Linked DNA regions of Diceros bicornis minor. The protein of the gene in region 2 interacts with the protein of the main gene of each other region in a pairwise test. Links are inferred from orthologs where the notes say so. Each region holds a gene or a part of one and is shown on either strand. Other genes may lie near its edges.

Region 1 (3,744 bases), on a different chromosome or scaffold from region 2:
GCCCCAAATACAGGAAATGAGATGCCTGTGAGGCCCAGCGGCCAAGATTCAGAAACTGATGCCCTGGCTGTGTAGAAAAGTGTCTATGCCACAGCCTGGTGCTACATGACTAATAAAAAAGAGATACAAAGAAATGGAAGCCTTTAATAACGGTGACAGCCTTTAAGGCAGTCAACTGCAAAGTAAAGGGTAGCAGACCGTCCTGCACTCCTGGCTGCAGAGAAAGGCCCCGCGGCACAGCCTTCCTGTGCCCCTCACAGCACAACCCGCCACCCTGTGGTGGCTCAGGCGTAGAAGATGAGCTCAGGGATCTGCCCACCCTGGACCCCGGTCCCGTTGGTGCTGTCTGAAGAGCACTGGAACTGGAAGGTCACCTTCCCACACTGCACTTCTGTCATGCCCTCCTGCCCAAAGTAGCTGAGTTCGCTGCCGTCCAGGACGGCACTGGCCGTGTAGAAGGTGTCCTGCTCGACTTGCACGGGGTGTTCAAACCAGACCGAGAAGGTGTTGCTGGAGCCGTCCGAGACAAACTTGGTCAGGTTCTGAGCCAGGACCACTCCCAGCCGCTTGAGTTCAATCTTCACGCTGTACTCGGCTTTCCCAGAGCTGGACCCGTACAAGCCCAGCCCCGCGATGAATACCCTTCTGTCCACGGCAAACTGGATGCTGTCGCAGCGCCCTCGGTAGCGCCACTGGTTGCTGCGGTAGGCAGAAGACTGGAAACGGTGGCACCTCTGTGGGGCGAGACCCTTCCTCTTGGTCAGGGGGAAGTCGAGGAGGGGCTTGTTGGCTGCTGTGTACCACAGGAAGATGTTGTGGGTCTCCTCCAGCGTCAGGATGTCCGACTGGGCAGCACCGTTGGCAAATTCCTCCAAGGTCATGGTTGGAATTCGGACCAGATGGAGGGCTGGCCCCAAAACGTGCCTCTTGTTGCGAGGGGTGACCGGCAGGCCCTGCCTCTTGCACTCTGCCTCGGCCCAGTTCAGCACGGCTTCAAAAACCACTGCCTCCTTGGTGTTGAGGGCCTCCCGGGTCACGATGATTTCCAGTGTCTGCCAGTCAATTTCACAGAAGCCTTCAGACCTCAGGGCCATCTCAGCCTGTGCATCAATGACCTCCCAGCAGCGCTGGGTCAGCTCGGGCTCTTCAAACAGCCGGCTCTGGGACAGCAGGACACAGGCGTTTTTGGCTTCCAGGCTTGTCTCCAGAAAGTTGACGCAGGCTTTTGCTAACGCGGGGACAATGTACTTCTTGGCAGCATAGAGCGTGGCCAGCACTGTGTCGGCTTCCAGATCGATCTCGTCACTGTACATGTACCTAGACAGGACAGGGACCACATCACAGGCTGCATGGGGCACGCAAGGCACCCAGGGCCTAAAAGACAAGCCCATCAGTCTTTGTGGCCTTCCCCTCGGAAGCTGCAGGATGCTGGCTGGGGGCAACCAGGCAGCAAGGAACCACCCCGTCCTTGCACGCTAATGGAGCAGACTTACTTTAACAAGATCAGAAAAGCTGCAGGCTCCACGTCGGGGATGTGGATTTCTGACTTGACTTCTGCCAGGTCCCCATAAAACATGGCATAGAAGACAGAGCTACCAACGGCCAAGACGTACTGTGGATGAGAGAGCGCTGCCCTAAGCCCCTGGTCCTCCCTGCCCCCGGCGGCTGCCACACCCCGGGGAGAGCACCGTACATACTCAGGAGATGGCTGGTCCCTTCGGGAGCTCAAAGGGCCCAGCCGCTACCAACCTTGTGAGCAGGCACCCTCTGGGCCGCGCCCAGGGGCCCCACAATGAAATGGACGTCAGCCATGAGCTCGTTGTTGAACATCAGCGCGTTCCTGCAAAGGGCAGAAGCACACGGCTCGGGGCTCGGGGCTCGGGGCGCGGGGCGCGGGGCGCGGGGGCTGGAGCCGGGGCCGAGCAGGGGTGCGGACGTGGGGCGGAGGGCTGGGGCCGGGCTCACCTCTCGCGCAGGGTCGGGTGGAAGGACTGCCAGTTGGGGCTCTCCAAGTTGTTGTTGTCCGGCGCGGGCGGCGCGGGCGCGGGCGGCGGCGGGGCGGGCGGCGGGGTGCTGGGCGGGCCTTTCCTGCCCGCGGCGGCGGCGTTGCTGTTGGCGATGTCCGTGGCGGTGGCGGCCGCGGCGCCAGCGGGCGGGTAGAGCTCCGCGGCCATCTTCGCGGGCAGGGCGGCCTCCGCGCGCCGGGGCGTTGCGCGGTGCGCCCTCGTGCTGCGCCGGGGTCTCGGGGGCGGCTCTGCGAGCACGAGGAGCGCGGTCAGGCACTGCGCCACCCGGCCGTGCAGACAGGCCAGGGGCAGCAGCATGGGGCCGCGGCGGCCGGCCTGCGCTGCTCGCTCGGGCCGCCCCGCTCGCCCGCCCGCCGGCGCCGAGCCCCCAGCCCGCAGCCCGCAGCCCGGCCGCAGGGGGCGCCGTCCACCCGCCCTCGCCCGTCGCGCCGCGTCACGGCGCGCCCCGCCCCCGCCCCCGCGCCGGCCCCGCCCCGCGCGGACGACGTGCGCGTCCCGGCGCTGGCCCCGCTCCGCGTGGGCGCCGTGCACGCCGGCGGCCCTGGCCTCTCCCTCGCGCGGATGACGTGCACGTCCCGGCCCCGCCCCTGGCGGTGTGCTCCAGGAGCCGGGCCTGCGGGAGGGGCAGTGAGGGCGGGCCCGGCAGCCTGTGGCTTCGCTGTCGTGCGAGCCCCGCGCAGGACCCGACGTGGGGGTGCCTTCCTCAGCGGACCCTTGCGGCCTTTGCTCCCCGCGCAGTGTCCTCAAGGGCGGGCGCGGGGCAGGGCGGGGCCGGAGGAGCTCCGGGACGGAGGGCACGGCGGCCGCCCGACCCCGACGGGCGCGCGGTTCTGCGCTCGGGCGTCCGCGTCTCCTCGGAGAGCCTGCGCTCGGTCGTCTGCCGGCGCTTGAGTCCGGGCTGTGGGTTGAGGCGCTGCCCGCGCGTTCCGGAGGTTCCCCCATCCCCCATCCGACACGTGGTTCGCACATATTTTCTCCCGATTTTAGAGTTTACATGGTCTGATTTGTCTACTTTTGGTTTTGTCGTCTGTGCTTTTGGTGCCTCGTCCAAGAAATCACCGCTACGTCCAGTGTCCGGAACCTCTTCCCCTGCGTTTTCTCCCAGAGTTTTTATGGTTTCGTGTCTTACAGTTAGATCTTTAATTCATTTTGAGTTGATGGTTGTAAATGACGTAAGATGAGGGCCGGTCTTCACTCTGCGCGTGTGGACGGCCAGTGTTCCTAGCCCCGTTTGTGGGAGCGACTGTCCTGTTCCCTGTGCAGTCCCCGCCCCGTCGGGACCTTGTGGCCCTGTGCGGGGGTCCTTTCTGGGGTCTATTCTGTTCTGTCGATTTTCTGTCTTTATGCCAGTACTCTACTGTTTTTTGGTTTTATCTTTTAAAATTCTTTTCCTGGTGGTGATAATTTGTTTATTTACTTATTTTTCTTTATTACTCTTTTTTGCCTACTTTAAATACTTTATCTTGTTTATTTTTAGTTTTCTACTTAACTGCTTAGTTTGTTAATTCTTTGTTAATTGAGTGTATAAGTCTATAAAGTTACTTAAAAGATTGTTTTTTAATTTCTTATTAGTTCGTTTGGAGGTGAAGGGGCTGTGTTTATCTGTCTCTTGCTGATTTTCAGTTTGTTTACACTCAGAGTGGTAGAGCGTGTCCCGTGAGATTTCTGTTCTCTGGGGCGTTTTGAAGGGTTTCTTTGTCCATTCGTAGGTGGTCAG
Region 2 (3,744 bases):
AGGTGGCGTCGCTCCTGCAACCTGACGCCCACATCTCGGAAGGCATCCTGAGCCATGAGCTGGAGCTGCTGCCGGGGGAGGCCGAGGCTGTGCCGAGCAGCTGCCTTCTCCACAGCCCGCAGCACATCTCCATAGTCAGGGAAGGTATCGGGCCCTGGCTTGTTGATGAGCCGCTCGATGCGCCTGTTAACCTCTGGGTAGCGGGTGCCCCGATAGGGGATGCGCTGCTCTATGACCCGGCCCGTCAGTGAAGAGCAGTCTTTCAGCTCACACAGCCTCCCAAAGAGGCGGATCAGCTTCCGCTTCAACCTCGCCTCTTGCAGGTACGTGGAGTCGGGGTCGTCCAATTCTGACAGATCCAATTCCTTTTCCTGCAGCCGCCGGATCTCTGCCACGTAGAGCGCTAGCAGCTGCTCCAAGCGCTGGATCTGCCGCCGGGAACCATGGGTCCTTGGGGCCTCAGCAGCAGTAGTCTCGGCATTCGCGGGGTCCGAGGTGGGGTCTGTGGGAGGGCTATTCCCAGAGGGCTCGCTAGAGGTGTTGGCAGCAGGGGCCAGGTTCAGCTTCTTCTTGGCTGAGTGGGCCTTGAGAACAGTGCAGAGCTCATTAATGTAGACATAGAGCTTAGCCGGCCGGCTCTTGGCCCGAGACAGGACCCGAGAGAGGATGTTGCAGAACTCCGCTGAGGCCAAAAACAGAGAGTGGGCCCGCTGCTGCCGGTTATAGAGAAATGGGACCACCTCAGGGTGGTCTGCCGTCTGCGTCTTACACAGTTCAAGGAACTAGAGGGTTCAGGGGAAGAAGGGAGTGGGGAAGAGACAAGGGAAGGGATCAAGAGAAAGGTTAGTGGGGAAGAAAGGACAGGAGAGCCAGTCAGCCATCCCCCTCCCTGGGGTACAAGAAGAATCTTCTCCCCTAAAGCTCACCTCTTCAAACAGCTTCTCATTCTCCAACTTGTAGCATTTCTTGCCGCCCGAACTACTGCTTCCTCTGGCCCTATGGGGCTGGGAGGAGCCAGGGGCTTCTGCCCGGGGTGAGGCCGGACTGGGGGGTGGGTGGGAGGGCCCTGGCTGAGCAGCTGCTTCATCTTCGTCATCATCATCCAGCACGATGATGCTGTTAGCGGTGGCCATGGGGGATCAAATCCCCAGGAGGGAGGAAGTGTTGGGGATTTCGGAATTCCTGCTGGAAGGGGGTGGGGCCTCAGAAAGAGCCCCTCCAGCACAGCCCCATCCCTTCATCTCACACATTTTCCAATCTTCTTGGGTTTCAGTAACACCCGGCCCTGCCCAACAGTCTCCTCACTGCCTATCTTGAGCAACCATTGGTACCATATGCTTTCTGGCCGTTTACTACGGGAGCCCCACCCCCAGCTCCACCCCTCAAGTCGATATCCGGTCTTTCTGTTGCGTTTCCCCATTATTTGTCATAGTTGGCAAGTTGATTCCTCCCAACCCTGGACCACCCTCCCCACTGCACTCCAGATTTCCTTGACATCCCCTTGCACAGACACCACACCCCCGTCGGCACCACCTCACGTGTTTTCCCCCTTTCGCTCTCAGACACGTCAAATCCACACCCTCACCCCGTCCTGAAGGATCACCCCAACTCCTAGACTCTCTCAGGAGAGGGAGGTTCCCTCCCAAAAATCCACTCCCCTTTCTCCTACCTGAATTATCTCCATATTCTACCCTCTGATAGGTCTCCTCAAACCGGGGCGTTAGGTTGGAGATATTTCACCCCAAGTCCCCTCCCTCTCACCCCACCCTAATTTTCCCCATTCTCTCTCTGTGACCTGTAACCGACTGTGATCACCGCACTGGGCTCTCCCGATTCCCCTCGGATCCCAACCCTGGGTCCAGCCCCTCCCCCCTGGATGAGCTTCCCGCCAAGTCCCCCTCCCCCAGTTCAGCCCCCGGCGCCCCACTCCCCTTCAGAGATAGGAAGGAAGGTACCACAGCTTGCCCCTCAGACTCAGCGCCCGGGACTCCCCAATACCTCTCCCTCGACATTCCCGCCCCTGCCTTCGCTCCCCGCACGGTCCGGCCCCCACCTCAGAAACGGTCTCTCGAGGCGACCCTCTCCGCTGATCTCAGAACCTCGCATGGTTCCCTCCGCCTTCCTTCCCCCTCCCACCGCAGGCCCTACTCTGGACCGGAAGTCGCGGAGCTTCCGCCTACAGGTACCCGACCGCGGCCATATTGTCGTACGGAACCCAGCCGCTCCCGCCCCCCGGGCCGGAGGTGACGGTAGGCCCGTCCCCCGAGCGCCTCCCGTGCCGCCCACCTAGTCTGCGGCTCCCTTCCGGACCTGTAGGGGGCGGAGTCGTCCTCGCAGGGAGTCCCGGTGTACGTGGGGGCCGCCATTTTGCCGTACGGCATTGGCTGAGCTAGGACTTGGGCGCGCAGCCAGCGGAGCTATTTTCACCCAGTGCTTCTGCGACTCCGCCAATCAGAAACTTCCTGCTTCCGGCCCGGCTGCCAGCGAGTTGCGTGCGGGGAGCGCTGAGCCCCGTTTCCAAGCAGGCGGGGAACGGAACTGGACAGCTAAGGAATTGGGCCCTCCAAGGCTACACAGGGGTTCGCGGAAGGGCAGGAGTCGCTTAAAAGGGAAATAACCTTTTCCTTCCGCCAGGCTATAACCTTTCCTTTCCTTCCGGCTCTGCCTTCCTACGGTCAGGTACCCACTTCCACGGCTTAACCGACTGCGCCTGCCCCTTCCCTTCTACGGGCTGCGCGCTCCCTTGCCGCTGTCCAGCAGCTACTTCTCCGTTCAGGTGCCTACATCTCCCGATCGTGAAATCATAACACACGCATGCAAACGCGCTATACAATGTGTTGTTATTATTATTGCTATTGTTGTTGACGTCTTTTCAAGCTCCTCCACAGAACTAACGACCAACAAGCCGGTGGGACGTAGGTGGGTCTCTGTCCTTTTCTCAGGGGTTTCCCCGAGGCATAGGCGGTGATAACCAAGAGGCCGTGCTTTGTCCAGGAACTCCAGGACCTGAGTCCAAAAGATGTGGGACGGGGGCTTTGAGGAGAATCTGTGCAAATTGCCGCTGTGAGACGAAATCAGGCTCGTAGAATACCTCGGGTCTCGTCTCCTCTTTCTCTGGGAGAGCTGAGGGAAGAACGAAGAGAGAAGAAACCGACTTTGATGCCTGCCTCGCCCGCACCCCCACCCCGCCCAGCTTTAGAGAGGCTGGGAGGACTCGTGAAGGCAAGGCTGGGTCCAAAGGTGAGCGTATGGGGAAACCGGAAAGGTTAACACGGTCCTAATCGCTGAGATTCCCACCTCCTGCATCCTTGCGCATTCCTAAGTGGTGAGCATCTTGCCACTTTCTAGGATCACAGAGGCTCTTACATCCCTAAGCTCTCAGAGTCCCAGAACCTCAAACCCTCCCTTCCATTAAAGAATCCCACACCACTTCTCTCCAGTCGTCTAAGCCTACAGTCTTTAAGTTGGGGAACATGAAAACTCTCCAAAGGGTATTTGGGCTTAGAAGATAAAAGGGATTTAATTTCCAGATCCTCAATTTTCCCAGAATTGGTCTTCCTGAATAAACGCCAGCAGCAGAAGTTCTTCTTCTTCCTTTTCCCTTTTACAATAGACTGTCTCCCCCCACCCCACCCCCACCCCACCCCCACCCCCCAAAAAATATCCTTCTCAACCATGAAATCTCCTGGGGATAATCTTACCTTGTTTTTTTTTTTTTTTTTTTTTTGAGGAAGATCAGCCCTG
Region 3 (3,744 bases), on a different chromosome or scaffold from region 2:
GGAAATTTATGTCCTAACCCCCCTCATGCCTTTGGAAAGACTCATGTGCCCAGGGGGTCCCAGGCGGGGGCCCCGAGTTGAAGACCACAGCTGTGTCAGTTGGCCTTACTGCACCCAGCCAGGTAGCATCACTGGTCTCCAAGGCTTGCACCCCCATGACCAGGGGTTCAAGATGAGTCAAAACAAGACTTTGTGAATGTATTCCCTTCCTTTGTTTGTTTTGTAAAATGACATCCCCTAAAAGCAAAACTTGTTGGTTTTCTGTACATCTTAAATGTTTGTACCTTTCTTGGATCATCTTTGAAAATCAGTTTGGATTTCAGGAACAGGGCAATCTCAGCCACTAAAACCAGTTTCTTACTTGTTCATTGTACTCAGCATCCAGCTGCAGTTGTCATGCTGATAGAATATGTTGGCCCAGTGTTGGCCGTGGTACAGTCAAGCAGCGGTGACTATGAGCTCTCAGCCTCAAACTGCTCACAAAATGTCTCACCCGTACCTGCGTTTGCAGACAAGACTGCAGGGAAATTCGAGGTGGGCACACCACCTTAAATCTCTCTCCTTTCCAGCCCTCATCTTCCTGACTATTGCACACCCCCATCGGTCATGGGTGGGGTTACTGTACCGGGCTCTTCTCTCACTCCTAAGGTTGGGGTAGGGAGGGGAGAAACTGCCCAGGTGCAGGGGCTCTTCCCATTCTTGCCCAGGGCAGGTCTGTGTCCCCTCAAGTTCTCACTGTCCGTAGAGGTGGCTGGCTGGCTGCCTCCTCCACTCCAGATTTTAGGGAGTAGTAGTTTGCCTGTGGCTTCCAGAACTGGATGCCGTCTATTAGCAGTGTCACTGGAGAATCCTTGCAGTGGGGGGTGTGGCTGACATCAAACTGCTGCCCAATGGGTTTCCATCCTTGTGGGAAAGCTTCCTCAGCCCAGACGGCATAGAAGAGCAGGGATGGGAGGGGGGATTTAGCGCCCCCCAACCCCTACAAGCACAACCCCTAACCCTGGGATCACCTACAAGCACATCCTAGAGAATGTCTGATTCATAGAGTCTGTAATTTGTCCAACATAATTCAGTCTAGTTTTAAGAATAATCCTTGAAGGATTTAGATTTGCTTTTTCTCCTGAAAGTGTTTTGCCTTCCAAAAGCCCAGTGACATTTAAGTTTTTTACGATTAAAAGGGAAAACATCTTGTACTTTAGACCTAATGCTCGCTACCAAAACACACTGAGTGTCAGGAGGCAGGGAGAAGGGAAGTCAGGAAGAAAATGGGGCGCACGTCCACATGGAAAGGCTGGGGGACTCCCTGCCAGCAGGTCTGTTCCAAAATAGAAAGAGGACACGGTTAGACATTTTAGGAGTTGTTGGGGACTGATAACTGGAGGTTAGCATCACTTGACCCTGCTTCCACCAACTTGATTTAAAATTTGACCAAATAATTCCGAGAATCCCACGTGCACAACTCAGAGGCCACCAGCGGTGGGGAGCACAAATCTCAGCAGTGCCTGGGTTCCTTCTGTCAGTCCCCAGGACTGTCCTACCTCTCTCCATCCCCCCAAACTATGTGTGTCCGGCCCACTCAGTGGCACCCAAGCGCACAAGCTAGGGGGAAGTCGCTGAGTATTTCCCCTTCCGGCCGGAAGAGAGAGGGGTGCAACACGCATGCCTCGTCTCTCCCACCAGCCCCTCCTCCCGTCTGCGCGACTGTGGTACCCAGAACGTCCTCGCCAGGCGGGACCGTTCACTTGGACCTGCCTGTATTTAGCAGGTTCGGTGAAGACCCCTTGTCTCTGCACTTCCAAGGACCCCCCTCCCCCGACTGTTGACTTGTCTGGTTTGCCTCCCTAGCAGAAAATATAAAATGACGTCAAGCGATAGTCGGCGTCTGGGGTGGGCTCGGAGGCCACGCAGCAGTGGATGCGAAACTTTGTGCGCCCCCCCTTAACCGGCTCCCTCAGAGACCCCCAGGGCCCCCATCCCCTCCACCGTGCCACTTCCTCAAGCAGAAAAGCCGTAGGTCTGGGGGGCTGTTTTTGATGAGTCACTCAAGAACCTTGCAAGTAGAATCAAGCGTGCTCTGAGCCCAGCCGACATCGCCATTATTATTATTATTATTGTTATTGTTACTATTATTATTAATTATTACCTAATACTAGCCCCTGCAATGCCCACACCCCGGAGCGCTGGTCTCCGCAGCCAGCCGCCCAAACGCCCCTCTCGGAGCCCCGCTGGCCGGCTGGAGAGTGCGCAGACCCAGGAGCGCGACACTCACCTGTCCCCGCGCAGCGATGAGCGCCGGACGCCCGCCGCTCCTCTGCTTTATACCGCGCGGCGCCGCCCGCCCCCGGCCGCGGGGAAGCGAAACTCAGGGGACGCGAGGGCGGGAGAGCGGAAGGGCCGGTGGGGCAACCGGCCGCAGAAACGAAACCGAACCGCTGCTCGCCCCTGCGCCCCGCGCCCAGCTGCAGCCTCCCCGAGGCGCTCCACGTGTGCGATCCCCACCAGCAGCATCCGCATCCCTGGGAGCTTGAGGGAAATGCAGATTCTCGCCCCCCACCCCCCACCCCTCCCCAGCACACCTGCTGAACCAGAAACTCGGACTCAGGGCCCAGCAACCTGAGTTTTATCAGGCCCTTCTGACGATTCTGGGGGCAGTTTGAGAATCGTTGCTCTAACAGCTTCGAGTCATCCAAAGCTGAACGTAGCGTTGACCCTAGCGGGTCCCTTAACCCCTGGCCTTCTGAACAGATGCACTGATAATTGGGTGTCTTAAATTCCTGCTGGAGGTTCACTGGGGTCATTGGGGCACCAGCAGGGATTCTCAAGCATTCTATGTTAATAGCAGCTCCCCCCTCCCTCCCCCTCCCCAAGCTGACCCACATCATCCTCCTTCCCAATTCTCCTTGTCCATTTCAAGCCCTCCCTGGAGGTTGGCTCATCTGATTTCTCCAGGATGGAAATGGGTGGAAGGTGGGGGCCTGAAGTCACGCAGACACAAGAGCAGCCCTCCCTGTGGGGACTCTGTGCATGGGGAATAACACTTCCCTTTGGAAGGGCCTGGTACCCCACCTCCATTCTCCTTAGCTCAACTCAGAGTCCCTGAAGACAAGCCCCCACCCCACTCAAAGGCCTGGAACCTGCCCCAGCTCCAAGTTCTAGAGTCAGGGAAAGCCTGGGGGGAACCAAATTCAATATGGCTGCACCAAGAGACGAGGAGGAGGCCCCACAGCCAACTCCCTGCCTGGCCCGAAGTCACCTGGCTCTGCAGAGTCCATTGCTGGGGTCTGGGTGATCCCATCCAGGGTGGCCTGGTGGGAGGACACAGGCTCTCCCAGGAATTAGAGAGAAACCTTTGTCGGCTACTCACTCCTCTGGGCTTCAGGTACTTGCAGTTAGGAGGAAGAGTGACATCTTTTCCTGGTGGGCTGTGAGCAGGAGGGGTTAGAGCTTTCTGAAGGAGTAGAAGTGCCCCTGAAATGCAGGGGGAGCTGTGAGCAAGGCATGCGTGGCCCTAATACTCAACTCTGTGGAATGATCCTGCCTCTTCAGACCACAGGAGGCTCTCCCCAGTGACGCATGTTCAGGAATGAATTCAGACAGAGCCATGGGCAAAAGTGAAAACAAGGCGTGGCCACAGCCTGTGCCAGGGCCAGGATGAGGGCAAGGTGAGCGAGGTGGCTGTGGGGCCAGAGTGGAGGAGCCGGGCACTCTCTGTAGGCGTAAGTGCCCTTAAATTTGGTGCCCCCG

What was found.
Region 1: the proteins of DAXX (region 2) and BTBD6 interact in a two-hybrid assay, tested with the Homo sapiens proteins (2 studies listed by BioGRID and IntAct). The link is inferred for Diceros bicornis minor from reciprocal best matches to the Homo sapiens genes DAXX and BTBD6.
Region 3: the proteins of DAXX (region 2) and MX1 interact in a two-hybrid assay, tested with the Homo sapiens proteins (2 studies listed by BioGRID). The link is inferred for Diceros bicornis minor from reciprocal best matches to the Homo sapiens genes DAXX and MX1.

What each region holds. Positions count from the first base shown.
Region 1 is NC_080763.1:49,661,988-49,665,731, reverse strand, and holds the start of BTBD6 (BTB/POZ domain-containing protein 6), read right to left. Parts: upstream 2,366-3,744; 5' UTR 2,325-2,365; coding exon 1,966-2,324; intron 1,841-1,965; coding exon 1,750-1,840; intron 1,613-1,749; coding exon 1,494-1,612; intron 1,318-1,493; coding exon 285-1,317; 3' UTR 1-284. UniProt on the Homo sapiens protein: Adapter protein for the cul3 E3 ubiquitin-protein ligase complex. Involved in late neuronal development and muscle formation.
Region 2 is NC_080753.1:31,142,786-31,146,529, reverse strand, and holds the start of DAXX (death domain-associated protein 6), read right to left. Parts: upstream 2,563-3,744; 5' UTR 2,353-2,562; intron 2,149-2,352; exon of another isoform or gene 2,054-2,148; intron 1,186-2,053; exon of another isoform or gene 1,183-1,185; 5' UTR 1,134-1,182; coding exon 927-1,133; intron 783-926; coding exon 1-782. UniProt on the Homo sapiens protein: Transcription corepressor known to repress transcriptional potential of several sumoylated transcription factors. Down-regulates basal and activated transcription.
Region 3 is NC_080766.1:41,178,259-41,182,002, reverse strand, and holds the start of MX1 (interferon-induced GTP-binding protein Mx1), read right to left. Parts: upstream 2,319-3,744; 5' UTR 2,270-2,318; intron 1,712-2,269; exon of another isoform or gene 362-1,711; intron 1-361.